Linked DNA regions of Rattus norvegicus. The main gene of each other region encodes a partner of the protein of the gene in region 2 in a complex. Links are inferred from orthologs where the notes say so. Each region holds a gene or a part of one and is shown on either strand. Other genes may lie near its edges.

Region 1 (4,044 bases), on a different chromosome or scaffold from region 2:
CTAGCTAGTATGATTCAGAATGTTTTAGCAACTACATTGTTTTTTATTCACTTATTCTTAAGGATTTTTTTGTTTTATGTGTGTTTTCCCTGCATGTGTGTGCTGTACTGTCTTAATGGTTAGTTCCCAGGGATGCCCTGGAATTACAGTTACTGTGTGTGTGCAGGTCTTCTGCAAAAGCAACAAGTGCCCTTCCCCACAGGTATCTATCTCTCCAGCTCCCTAACTACCAACAACCAAGTCATATGGGAAGCTGATTTTTAAAAGAATTCACATGTAAACCACCAGACTTATTTGCTTAATTAAAACATATCCTGGAGTTTTCTAATTGGGAAAATGGGAGAGGGCAGACACTGCTTTATACTTGCAGTTGTTCTGTAAATTTGTTAGAGAAAAAGTAAATTATGGAAAGTATACATAAAAATCAAAAAGCTGCTAAAATAAGGGAAATGTTAGCAGAATAAGAGCAATAAACAAAGCAGGAAGTTAACCTAACAGTATGGTAAGGATTAACATAGTCTGGCACTACCAACAAGGCTATCCAGCCAGCTCTGATGGAACAGAACTAAGGTATTCTATCAACTCGAGGCCACCCTAATACTATATAATATATATACATATATATATATATATATAAAATACTATATATTATACTATACATAGACTAGAGTGAGGCTGCCTCAAAAGGTAAATAGATAAGTAGATAAGTAAATAGCAGGTCAAGGACTGGGAATGGCGCTCACCGATAACTAACTGTACATAAGAGTTGCAGGGCAGCTTACTCTACAGTCTCAAAAACCAAAGTAGGCAAAGAGGCTGGGGATGTAGCTTAGTGGGAGAATGCTCGCCTAGTATATACAAGTCCTGGTTTCAATCCCTAGCATTTAAGAGAGGGAAACATCAAGAACTCTGCAGTGTGTTTAAATGATACTGCCTTGAACATTATTTTAGTATGGCTTTTTGTCTGCATGTTTGTCTGTGAAGCATGAATATGACTTGGTGCCTACAGAGACAGGAGAAGAGATACCCTGGAATTGGAGTTAGAGTTCATGAGCTTGCTATGTGGGTGCTGGAAATTAAACCCAAGTCCTCTGGAAAAGCAGCCACTGTTCTTAACCATGGAGCCCCTCCCCAGCCCCAAATACATTTTGAAGCTCAATCTACACATCCTGAAAGACAGGCACTATTTTCATTTTAGAGATGGTGGTCAAAGTTACTGAAGTCAGAATAAGTAGTAGGCGTCCCTCGGGACATGTCCTCCTGGAAAATGAACACCAGCCAGTGCCAACGACATACCACCCTCAAGGACAAACTCTCAGGCAAAAATCTACCAGTGACTTCTCTCTACTCACACTGGTGGAAAAACATGATAGGAACAATAATGACAGATTGAAAAGCTGGATGAGGTCCAGGCATATCTGCAATCCCCTAGCTTTCAAGGTGGACAGGAAGATTCTAGACCAGTAACTCAAAAACAAAAACTGGCTGTCCAGAAAAAAATAAATTTCAAGGAAATTTTTAAGGGAAGAAAAGTTTAAAAATTGTAACCAGTGATTTTACAATGTATACTATTCAAACACTACCACTTGTGTTTCAAGAATATAGGAGTTCCTTTTCCATACGGAAAGACAAGCAATGCCTACATAGGAACACACTCAGATTCCACGTCAGCCATGGGAAATTTCAACAGTATTTGGGGAAGCTGAAGGTTCCCATGTCCCTACAAGGAAGCCTTACCTGATAAAACCACACCCAGATGGAATGATTAAATCATAATTAATCTAATTAAACCATAATCAGTAAACAAGAGTGTCCATGGCTTCCACACATGAAGTTGAAGCGGCTTCCTATGCCCACCTCCCACTTTTTATAATAAACCGCAGACTTGGAGGTTCCCAGAATGGGCCGAGGTTTTGGTGAATAATGGCTTCCTGTGGTGACGTTTAGCAACTCCACACAGAGTAACCACTTCAGAAAAAAAGTGCCAGTAGTGAAGAACTTAATTTGATACTTTCTGTACATTCTGTGTTAACTGGAGACCAGTGGAATGATAATCACAAATAGGTATACTAGGCACTGGAAAGGTCAACATGCTAGCATGACTCAGTTTACACATATGCCAATATACTAATATGTACCTCATAGTGGTTACAAGAGATATATAATTAGGGTCTGCAAAGCATTTTGCAGGTCACAAGATTAAAGGCCGTCTCTGAGGACACAACACGCATTTCCTGTAGATATTAAGTGCACTGCGTTTTAAAAATACATTTAAAATGACTTCCAGCATATGTAATTAATTTTCTGCAGACAGCATCTCCTTCGGAGTATGCAATGATACTTTTCGGGGTGGGGACGGGGGTGGGATCTTTTAGGAGAATGAATCAAGTCTCCGTATGTGCTTTCATTTCCACTTCTCGGGGGAGCCACTGAGCTGGCGACCCTTTCCACCAGACAACCAATGTTGACGTTTCTCAACTTTGTGGCTGTCAGATCGACAGGGTCCTGGAACGTCGCTTCCCCAGCTTTTGGAAAGGCGGTTTCGGACCCTCAGACCGGATGGGCCATAAGGGAGGAAATACACAGAAAACATTAACATGACACAAAGACGGTTGGAGGGTCCGACCGAGACGGAGGTCGGGGCCGTGCCGATCCGCAGGGACAAGCCCGGGGGGCGATGACTCAGGCGGACAAGGGACGCCCGTGGCGGCCTTCTGGAGGAGCCTCGGCCCCGCGATCCCCATCTCCACTCGCTCGGAGGCCGTTGCACTCACCGGCTGGTCGACGCCATCTTCAAGGCTCCGCCAACAGCTCCGTCCAAAGCAGGAAGCAGCACTGGCTCTTAGACGCCCCGAGCCGGGATTTTATGTGCGAGTCACTCGCGCGCACTCCGCGCAGCTACGGGTCGGGAGGAAGGCCAAAAAGTGTTGGGTGCATGACGACGCGGGCTGTGTACTTCCTGGTTTTCTTTGCTGCGTGGCTCTCGGCTGCTTATTAATAGGCAAAATTTCAAAGCCTGGCGTGATAGCACGCATCATTAATCTCGGGAGGCAGAGGCTGGAGGATCTCTGTGAGTTTAGGGGAAGCCCGGTCTACACTAGGAGCTCCATAACAGCCGGAGGTAGGGTGGGGGAGTGGTGGGAGGAGAGAAAGTTCAAACAAGTCAAACAAAAAGCCAAAGCAAGAAGAGTCTCAGGATGAGCTGCACCAGAGCTAGCTCTCAAACAGACCAGATTAAAATGGGAGTTGCCTCAGATCTCCTGTTGTATTCCTGCAGTAAGAAGGTCGGAGGAGGATCTGGAGTCAGACCACGTTTCAAACAAACACCTTTAAACAAACAACACACAAGGAAACCAGGTTGGTTGAAAGGGACAAAGCCCTCACACCAAACCACTTTTTTATTTTTCAGTCAGTTTTCCCTGTCTGATTGAATCTCTCATTTGCCCTAAGGAATTTGTAATAAAAAGAGAAATTAGCTGTTGTCTTGAGGAACAGGTTATCAATTCAAGCTCTGTCATAGACCAACATGATTCAAAGTTCCTACATGTCCTTTACCTCAATAGTGTAGGGAATAGAGGGTGTCTGCCTCACAAACCCTTCTAGAATTGCAAGAGATCCAAGAGAGCCCAGTGATAGCCATATATATTGTGAGGCAGACAGAGAGTCTGGCCCTGCTATGACCCAGGTTTTTGTCTTTCCCCAATCATCATTGGACATTTGACTGAAAGCTGAGTATAGAAAAACTGATAAAACAGCTAACGACTGTCCTAGGGCCCAGATGCATTAATCAGCTAAACTCGTACCAACCTGGAAATAATAAGGCAGGTCTTGTGGTTCACCCCTGTAATTCTAGCACTTAGGTTGCAGAGGTGGGCAGTCTGGAATCCCAAGCCAGCCTGACCTGCAGAGTGAGACCCTGTCTCAGGTCCCACCCTCTTTCCTTAAGGTAATAACGATACACTCTTGTAAATAAACCCAGTGGACAAAATCTGAATCAAAATAACCACAAGGTGGGCATCTTCCACTGAGACGAAAACTCAGTAA
Region 2 (3,992 bases):
AAATGCCTCAGAGAAAAATTCTATGTATGAAATTTTAAAATACCAGACCTGGTAACAGGCTTTCATAGTGGCAAATACTAATGAAATAACATGAACAAACATGCCTATTAAAAAAGCATAGCAATTAAAATGGCAACAGTTAAGAATATAATCTTAATCTAAGCAAGTGGAATAGTTCATCTGATAACTGTTTAACTGCTTCCAGTATTTTATAGATAACTTTAGTGTTTAATAAAAAGATATAGACAGATATCCTTCAATGAAAAGTAGGATAGTTTAAGAAGGCTCTGGACCGAGTGTTCACAAACCTCCAGATGGTGTAGGTAGGCCTGAACCATAATCTATAATGCAAAGATGAATTTCTCCATTTCCTTATCTGGTGTATTCCTTTTCTAAAAAGGCAAAACAACAGCATGTATCTTGATCTATACCACTCAGCCATTAAACTCCATGAGCTCACCTCAACTTTCAGTATTCATTGAAGAACAAGATAAGCAAAGTGAAAATTAGTAACTTTTATTGTGCAAAAAACAACTTTTATGAAAAAACTTGCATTTCTGTAACATGGAAACTTGCTGAGAAGGTAAAAAAATATATTTCTTAAAAAAAAAACAAAAAAAAAAAAAAAAAACACTCCATTGCCTGTAGGCTAGCTAGCTTCTTACTGATCTTAGCACCGAAGAATAGGACTAGAAACTTAGGAAACAAATTGTAATAAAGTCCTATGGTGAAGTGATTAAAAGCTCAGTGTTGTCACTTCACTAACCTTACACTACAACAAATCTGCCTATGTAATCCTATTTTCTTAAGAGTGAAAACAATCAACACAATAACTCCTAGCATTACAGGAAATAAGAATATTTCAAAGAAAAAAGAAGAATTTTTCAAGACCTCACTCTGAAAATAAATTCTTCTTAAGCTGACTAGTCTAAGGACTAAAGTCAACCTTTTCACTTCTCCAGAAGTGATTCCAGCTCTTCTTGCAAAGAGCTAAGCTGCTCCTTTTCCCGGTCTTCCTTCTGTTTGAGCTCATCCAGAACAGCTTGAAACCTGTTCTTCAGAGCCAGGTTTTCTACCTTCATGATGAGATCCTCCTGGCGCTTTGCTCTGTCTTGGGTTTCTTGAAGCTTGCCTTTCATATTATCAATCTGCTTCTGAATCCCCATAACCAACTGATTGGTTCCTTCATTTTCTTGGTGTTGTTCATCTGACTCATTTAGCTTGTCCTGTAGCTGTCTCTCCAGATCCTCTTCAGTGTCAATGATGTTTACATCTTCTTCATCTTCGCTGCTGCTGCTGAGGTCATTGAATATCTCTCGAAGCTCATCATGCTCTAGTGAGTCATGGCCCTGCCTGTGGCCAGACATTCCAGGAGAGGAGATATCAAGGCCTTGATTTTCTGCCTCCTTTGTTTCATCTTCAGCAATTATCTCCCAACGAGTACTGACAGCTTCTGCATCTGTACTCAGCAGCCGCTTTACTTCTTTTTCCACATCTGGAGATTCAATGTACTTCTTCTTTGCTGTCTTCCGGAACCTTCTCTTTCTGACATTTTTTAGAGGTAGAGTAATTCCATGGTTCCAAACAAATTTTTTCTCTTTGTCCTTATCTTTTTTCTTGTTTGCTTTGGGATCAGCAGTAGCAGCTGGCTCCTCCACAGGAGGGTATAGATCACCATCTACTGTGGCTACAAGCATCTGAGAGATATCAGCTGTCTTGTAAAAGGTTTTTTTATCAATGGTTTTCAAGCTCTCCGTAACACACGGCAAATCTACCAATTTTGCAGCCAGGGGCACTCTATCCACTCTGACAATCCCATGACGCCCATCAGGGTGTAACTCAATGCTCAGTCTATCTTTCAGGTTGACGTGCCCAGACTGCACTGCCCTCCTCACAGTAGCGGCATATTCTGGGGGCAACCGTAAGATAAACTGGCTCTCTAGCTCATGAGGTGCATCATCTTTGCTCTTACTCATCTTCACTTCCTTGTGAATTACTTCTCCAATAAACACCTGCTGCACTAACAAGTTCCAGCTCCTACAACAGTTAAAAAAAGGACAAGGTTAAGAATAATCTTAAACTCTTAGTTACTGAGTTCTAAGGAAAACAGCAACTAAGTGGATCATCACCTACTGCCTATTTTGTCTTAATTTATAATTAAGTCCCAATACTAATCTCTAAACATGCATCCCACTTTGGCATTGTCCCTGTTAAACTCACACCTCTACTAGATGCAATACCAAATTAGGGCCTCTAGACGCCGCTGCAGCATCACGTGAACAGCCAAAGAAAACAGCAGCGCCTGAGGGGATTTTAGGCACAGTCCGTCCGTCTGGCAGGCAATCCCAATCCACGGATTCTCTCCAGTAAGAGATTTAAATAAAAGTCGTGAGCTCTTCGGCTCGGGTACTTACAGTTCACCAGCAACTATGAACTCAGCTTTTCTCGGCCTGAGTAAAGCAGCGATGAGCGGTGCGTCTACCTTCCAGTTTGTCCGCGCTTTCAGCCGCCCGGCAAGGCGACCTGAGCGCTAACAACGAAACGGCTCAGGACCCGCAGCGCGAAACCTCGCCACACTGCCGCTCAAACATCCGAACTCCGGAGAGGACCTTGCCAAGCCTCCTCCCACGCAGAAAAGAAGGAAAGAAAGTGCTACGGCAGTGAGCGGAAGCAGACGCGGCGCTACGTCAAAGACCGGAAGTAGACGCGGAGGGGCTGGCTGCCGCTCTTCCGGAAGTAGTAACGTCGCGGCGCGCGCAGGCGCATTCTCGTAATTACGTCGTCTCGTGACTACTTCTCGTGAGAACTTACCTTGTATAGGATTAAAACTAGTGTTTCCGGAAAAACCTTGGCTTGGAATTCAAAGATGAAGATTCCAAAAAGTAAAACATAAGCACACCCCCTAAGACAGCACTTTTATGAAGTCGTGGGTTAAGACAGTTTCTAGAGTGATTGCCAGAGATAAAGGGCGTCCCTGCAGAAAGCATCTTTTCTTCCCAGGGCATACCCGGTCCCTCCGCCAAAAGCTTTGGAAGCATCACAAAGTGAAAGTAAAGTGGCCAAAACAGTGGAATGATACAGTTTTGCTGTCTACCACATAACGCTGTGTATAATCATGTTAATTAGCTTTGAGAGGAACTAAGCCTTTAGCTTCGTTAGTATTTTTGGCTCCAGAGGACGAGGTGTGATATGTATGATACGCTATTTTGGTAATATGTTTGATAGATATAACTGTATACAAATGTTTTTATGATGACACAGGTTCATTAAGAACAGAATTGCCTTGCCTGAAACACAAACGTTCTGATTTTGTTGTTGGGTATCCACCAAAGAAGGCTGCTTGGACATAGTTTTAAGCCAATATAAAGTATTAGCTAGCCAGCGACTACATTGGGTGTTCTGGATCCCAGTGTGGCCCTAAGGCTTTCTCAGGGTGAGCTTTTAAGCACAAACAAATGTTCTACATTGGCATGTTTCTGTTACAAAAACCACTTTCCAGAGACAGAACTACAGAAGCCAAAAAACAAGGTTAGTACATTAGAGACTTTCTCAAAACTATGAAATTTGATAATTAGGTCTGTTTTTGTTTTGCCCATTGGTACTGTCTGTACTGTTAGGGTTCTCTAGAGTCACAGAAATTCTGGAATGTCTGTATACATTAAGGGATTTTAATGTAATGATTTACAGTCTGTAGCCCAACTAACCCAACAATGGGCAGCTGTGAATGGAAAGTTCAAGAATCTAGTTTCTCAGTCCCACGAGGTTAGTTCTTTCACCCAGTCTTCTGTATAAACTGGAATCTTGAAGAAGTGGGTACCAACAGATGTGCTGGCAAGTAAGAAGTAAGTGCAAGCAATTGAAGAAGTGTGAGTCTTCCTTCTTCCAATGTCCTTATATAGGCCTCCTGCAGAAAGTATAGCGCAAATTAAAGGTGTGCAGCACCACTCCTGGATCCAGAACTTGGCTTATCCCAGCCTGGCCTGGAATTCAGA
Region 3 (4,242 bases), on a different chromosome or scaffold from region 2:
GCAAAGCCCTGGGTTCGGTCCCCAGCTCCGAAAAAAAGAAAAAAGAAAAAAAAAATGGCACCAGAGGCTTTAGCTTTACAAATCCTCCCTTTGCTTTGTGGATGGTCTTTCTCGTGTGCCGGCTGTACAAGTCTCATCACCCTTAGTAAAAGTCTTAAAAACTAATAGTAGCGGCTAAGCTACCGGAAAAATAATAGCTTCAAGGATGTTAAAAACGACAATAACAAAAAAAAAAAAAAAAAAAAAAACTTTTTCAGAGGATAATTTTGGGGTTGGGTCTCTCCTTCCATCACTCAGGACTCAGAGACTGAACTGAAATCATCCCTCTTTGTGACAATCACCTCAGCAGAAGAACCACCTCACCTGATCTGCTTCTTTTTTTTTTTTTTCCTTTGAGATAAAGTCTCATGTTGACATCGAACTCCTAATTTTCCAGCCTCTACCTCCAATGTAATGGGATCACAGTCAAGCACTATGATGCTTGGCTATGTTAGCCCAAGCGTCCACATCTAGTACACACTAGCAATTAATGATGTCGCCCTAATTTTCAAAAAAATTAAATATAACCTGTTCTATTGTAGGAGTCTACAAATATTTCTCTTTCTACCTGGAATATCTATGCTTCTGTGAAAACACAGGAACTTAAGATCTCAAATACTATGGAGGTATCCTAAACGTCACAGTCCTTGACTTTAAAAGGAGTTAAGGAAGAAGCTGGGTATGATGGTGCAGCTTTGGATCCCAGGGCTCTGAAGGCAGAGGCAGGTGGCTCTCAGAGTTTGAGGCCAGCCTGGTCTACATAGCAATTTCCAGGCTAGGAGGAGCTAAATAGTTGGGGGAGGAGGGGTGTGCTTTCATTCAGTGGCAGGCTTTATAAATATTATGTATATTTTGCTCACATGCAAATTACACATGGAGGGGAGTCCACTTAGGAAAGTTCAAGACAGTTTTAGAGGCACATCTGGGGATAAGCTACTCCATACTATGCTGTTTAAGACAAACTCCTTATCCTCTATGGACATAAGACATAGTACAACATGACTAACCATACTTAACTGTGGAATTGTGATAACAAAGTAATGGAATGCTTGAAAGTGTTGAAGTTGTTCATGGTGGCACACACCTTTGATCCTAACACTCCCAAGGCAGAGACAGGAGGATTTCTTGGGGTTTGAAACCGGACTGGCCTACAGAGTGAGTTCCAGGATAGCCAGGGCTACACAGAAAAACTGTCTTAAAAAAGGAAGAAAGAAAGAAAGAAAGAGAGAGAGAGAGAGAGAGAGAGAGAGAGAGAGAGAGAGAGAAAGGAGGGAGGGAAGGAAAGAGAACAGAACAAACAAACAAAAAAAAAACCCAAAGTGATTAAGTTTTGCCCGATTCATCTGAGGAGGTTTCAGTCGTGGATCTTTATGAAGAGAAACGACAAGGTCCAAGTCACTCTTCTAAAAGCAATCCCTAGAAAATATTCTAGGTCACATTTACTTGTGAATTTCTCAACACATTTTTGAAAAGTAAGTAAAATGGGTTTCACTTAAGTTTGTTTCCTCACATTGTAACACAATGCCATAATAGGTACTAAAATATTAAAATCCATTAAAAAAATCCCTTCTGAGTTTGAGGGTAGAGATTCTAAAAGCATTTTATTCGAGTAATTTCAACCAAGCATCTCTTATTTGCTGTACATGGTAGAGGTCGGTATAACCGAATTGGCTCATAGTGATGCTAATCTTTCTTTGGCCCCTCTTTTCCTGAAATGTAAAAGAATTCAAAATGATCTTTTGCTGCCCTTCCATCTATGACAGTTTGCTTGTGATGCAGAGATCTGTGCTCCACAGGGACTGAATGGAATAGGGCTTAAGTAACATATATATATATATTTGAGTTCAACCGCTTTCAACTTTATATCTGATTCACAATAATGAAGAAAAACGAAGATGTTTTGTGTGGGTTTTCTAGATTAAGTATCTGACACAAGAAGCAGCCTAAATGCAAAAAGCCAAATAGGCAGCGCCAAGAAGTCTTCCCCCGAACATATCGTAACCCTCTGGGTACAGAGAACAGATCGCTAAATCTTTTCAACCTCTTTCCCTGGAAGGTTGATCTCCCAGCCTTCAAGGACCCCTTAGATCTTCCACTTTTAGGAGCTCGGGTCCTCACATCCCTGTCCCTTCAGAAACTCTTGAGTCTGAAAGCCCAGATCTTGTCCCCAAAGAAGACCCAGTCCTCACTGCCCATTTCTGTTCCCTTTCAAACTCAAGTCTTCTCTGCCTGCTTTTCTATCTCCAGTCCCTAAGTCTTTGCTGCCCTGTTTCTGAATCCTTAGGAGCTGGGACTTTACCGTTCTGCTTCTGTCTCTTAGGAGCCCGAGACTCGGGCTCCACTTTTACCTCTCTGGAGCCGGTGTCTTCACGCCCCGTTTCGTTCCTATCCTCGCTTCCTATAAAGTACAGGGTCTTCACCATCTGTGTCCCTCTCAGAAGGATTTCCCTCAGATGCTGCAGAACTCACATCCGTCCCCGTTTCCTAAGTCTCATTCAGAGCCCGAGTCCCCAACAGCCGCTGCTTCTGCGAGCCCGAACCCCTCAAGTCCCGTCCCAAGAGCCTGGCTCCTCACAGCCCCGTCTCTTCCACAACCTAGTTCTTCCAGCACTGACCCGCTGTGGGTCTGGGTCCTGACACCCTCCTCCCGCTCTTCATCCTCAACTGCCAGGGCCCAAGACTCACAGGCAGCAGCGTCTATCTCCCCATGATATGCGGAGACTGCCCCAGTGAAGCTTTCGTCTCAGCAGCCGGTCCGACTGCGCGGCCCTCCCCAAGCACTTCCGGCACCGCTCCCCGCCTCCAACCCGGAAACGCGCGGCTCTTCCGGCCGCCGGGCGCGCGCCTGACTAGCGCAGGCGCAGACCTTACTACAGCACGTGGTTGAGCTGTGAGCCTAGCGCCTATCTGGTCAGTTGTGTTTTCTGCTGTGTGTTGTGTGGCTGACTGGTGGACCAACTGCATCTCCTACCTCGGCGTGAATCCCTGTCCTAGATGTTTCTTTCCGACTCATATCTAGGTAACCAACGGCCTCGGAGGGCTTCCAAGTCGCCATTTTTGGTTGGTGCCTTTGTCGTGATATGAGGATGGGACCTCAGTTCGGCATAGATTTCAACTATTTGGCAGCTCGAGAACTTGGGGACTAGAGAGGCTGATTGTGCCTATTACTTAATTTCTAGCTCAATAACACTTGAACGAGAGCTGTCTGAGGAAGTGGTTAAGTCCTTCACTTGGAATGTCATGTACTAGTGGAAGAAACTTGTGTGAAATTCTACCTAAGAGATGTAGGTTCTCGACTTGAACTGAAAATTCTCACTCCAAAGCCCGGGATGGTCCAGTAACCGTTAAACCATTAAGTCCTGAGCTTTGAGTACATTTTTTGTTATTTTCCCTGTTCCAAGTGCTAGGCATGTAAGCAACACGCGGTTTTAGCCCCTGGCAAGGATTCTCAGTAAAATGGAAATCTTGCAAACCGATGTATACATGTCTAACATCTCAGCTACTAACGGTTCCCGCCCAAACAAATTCCATTCCATCTTTCCATCCTCTTCCTATTAGGCGCATCCACCCTCCCGGTCCAAAGTCCTGGATGCAAGAGCTTAGTTACCATTAAGTGGCAAACTGACTATAGTCTGATTTTTATTTTGGATTTATTTTATGCGTAAAAGTGTTTTGTCTGCATTTATATATGTATGCCATGTTCATGGCTGGTGCACAAAGAGGTCAGAAAAGGGCATCTGAAGCCTTGGAGTTGAAGTTACAGATAGTTGTGAGCCACCATGTGGCAACTGGCATTGACCATAGATCCTCTTCGAGAGTAAGAGATTCCTTAAACCACTGAGCCATCTCTCCAGCCTCAGCGTTATTTTTCTATCATGGTTCTCCTTAGAGAACAAATCAGTTGCTACTGTTGCATTCTTCCATCTTTTTTTTTTTTTTTTTTTTTGCTATGTGCTGGGTGTTTCCTGTGGGGGAAGTCAGACAAATTTGTCTTTAAGAGTTTACAGGCAAGTGCACGAGAGGTAAGAATAAGGACTGTGAGTGATGGAGGGTCCTGAGTCAATGCTCAAGACTAAGAGAGCCAGCATGGCTGAAGCTCGGTTGGGTGACAGGAAGGGACAGCTGGAAGAGGTGGGAGGGTTCTGTTCAGTGTGCAGTGAAAAGACATGGAAACTGAGGAGTGAGATGGGAATTTGTATTTAA

What was found.
Region 1: Taf7 (region 2) and Gtf2b share a complex: the UniProt entries of both Homo sapiens proteins name them as parts of the TFIID-containing RNA polymerase II pre-initiation complex. The link is inferred for Rattus norvegicus from reciprocal best matches to the Homo sapiens genes TAF7 and GTF2B.
Region 3: Taf7 (region 2) and Taf12 share a complex: the UniProt entries of both Homo sapiens proteins name them as parts of the TFIID basal transcription factor complex. The link is inferred for Rattus norvegicus from reciprocal best matches to the Homo sapiens genes TAF7 and TAF12.

What each region holds. Positions count from the first base shown.
Region 1 is NC_086020.1:234,426,490-234,430,533, reverse strand, and holds the start of Gtf2b (transcription initiation factor IIB), read right to left. Parts: upstream 2,801-4,044; 5' UTR 2,792-2,800; coding exon 2,775-2,791; intron 1-2,774. UniProt on the Homo sapiens protein: General transcription factor that plays a role in transcription initiation by RNA polymerase II (Pol II). Involved in the pre-initiation complex (PIC) formation and Pol II recruitment at promoter DNA.
Region 2 is NC_086036.1:29,710,676-29,714,667, forward strand, and holds Taf7 (transcription initiation factor TFIID subunit 7), read right to left. Parts: upstream 2,650-3,992; 5' UTR 2,415-2,649; intron 2,038-2,414; 5' UTR 1,977-2,037; coding exon 951-1,976; 3' UTR 501-950; downstream 1-500. UniProt on the Homo sapiens protein: The TFIID basal transcription factor complex plays a major role in the initiation of RNA polymerase II (Pol II)-dependent transcription.
Region 3 is NC_086023.1:149,755,452-149,759,693, reverse strand, and holds the start of Taf12 (transcription initiation factor TFIID subunit 12), read right to left. Parts: upstream 2,801-4,242; 5' UTR 2,725-2,800; intron 2,680-2,724; exon of another isoform or gene 2,655-2,679; intron 1-2,654. UniProt on the Homo sapiens protein: The TFIID basal transcription factor complex plays a major role in the initiation of RNA polymerase II (Pol II)-dependent transcription.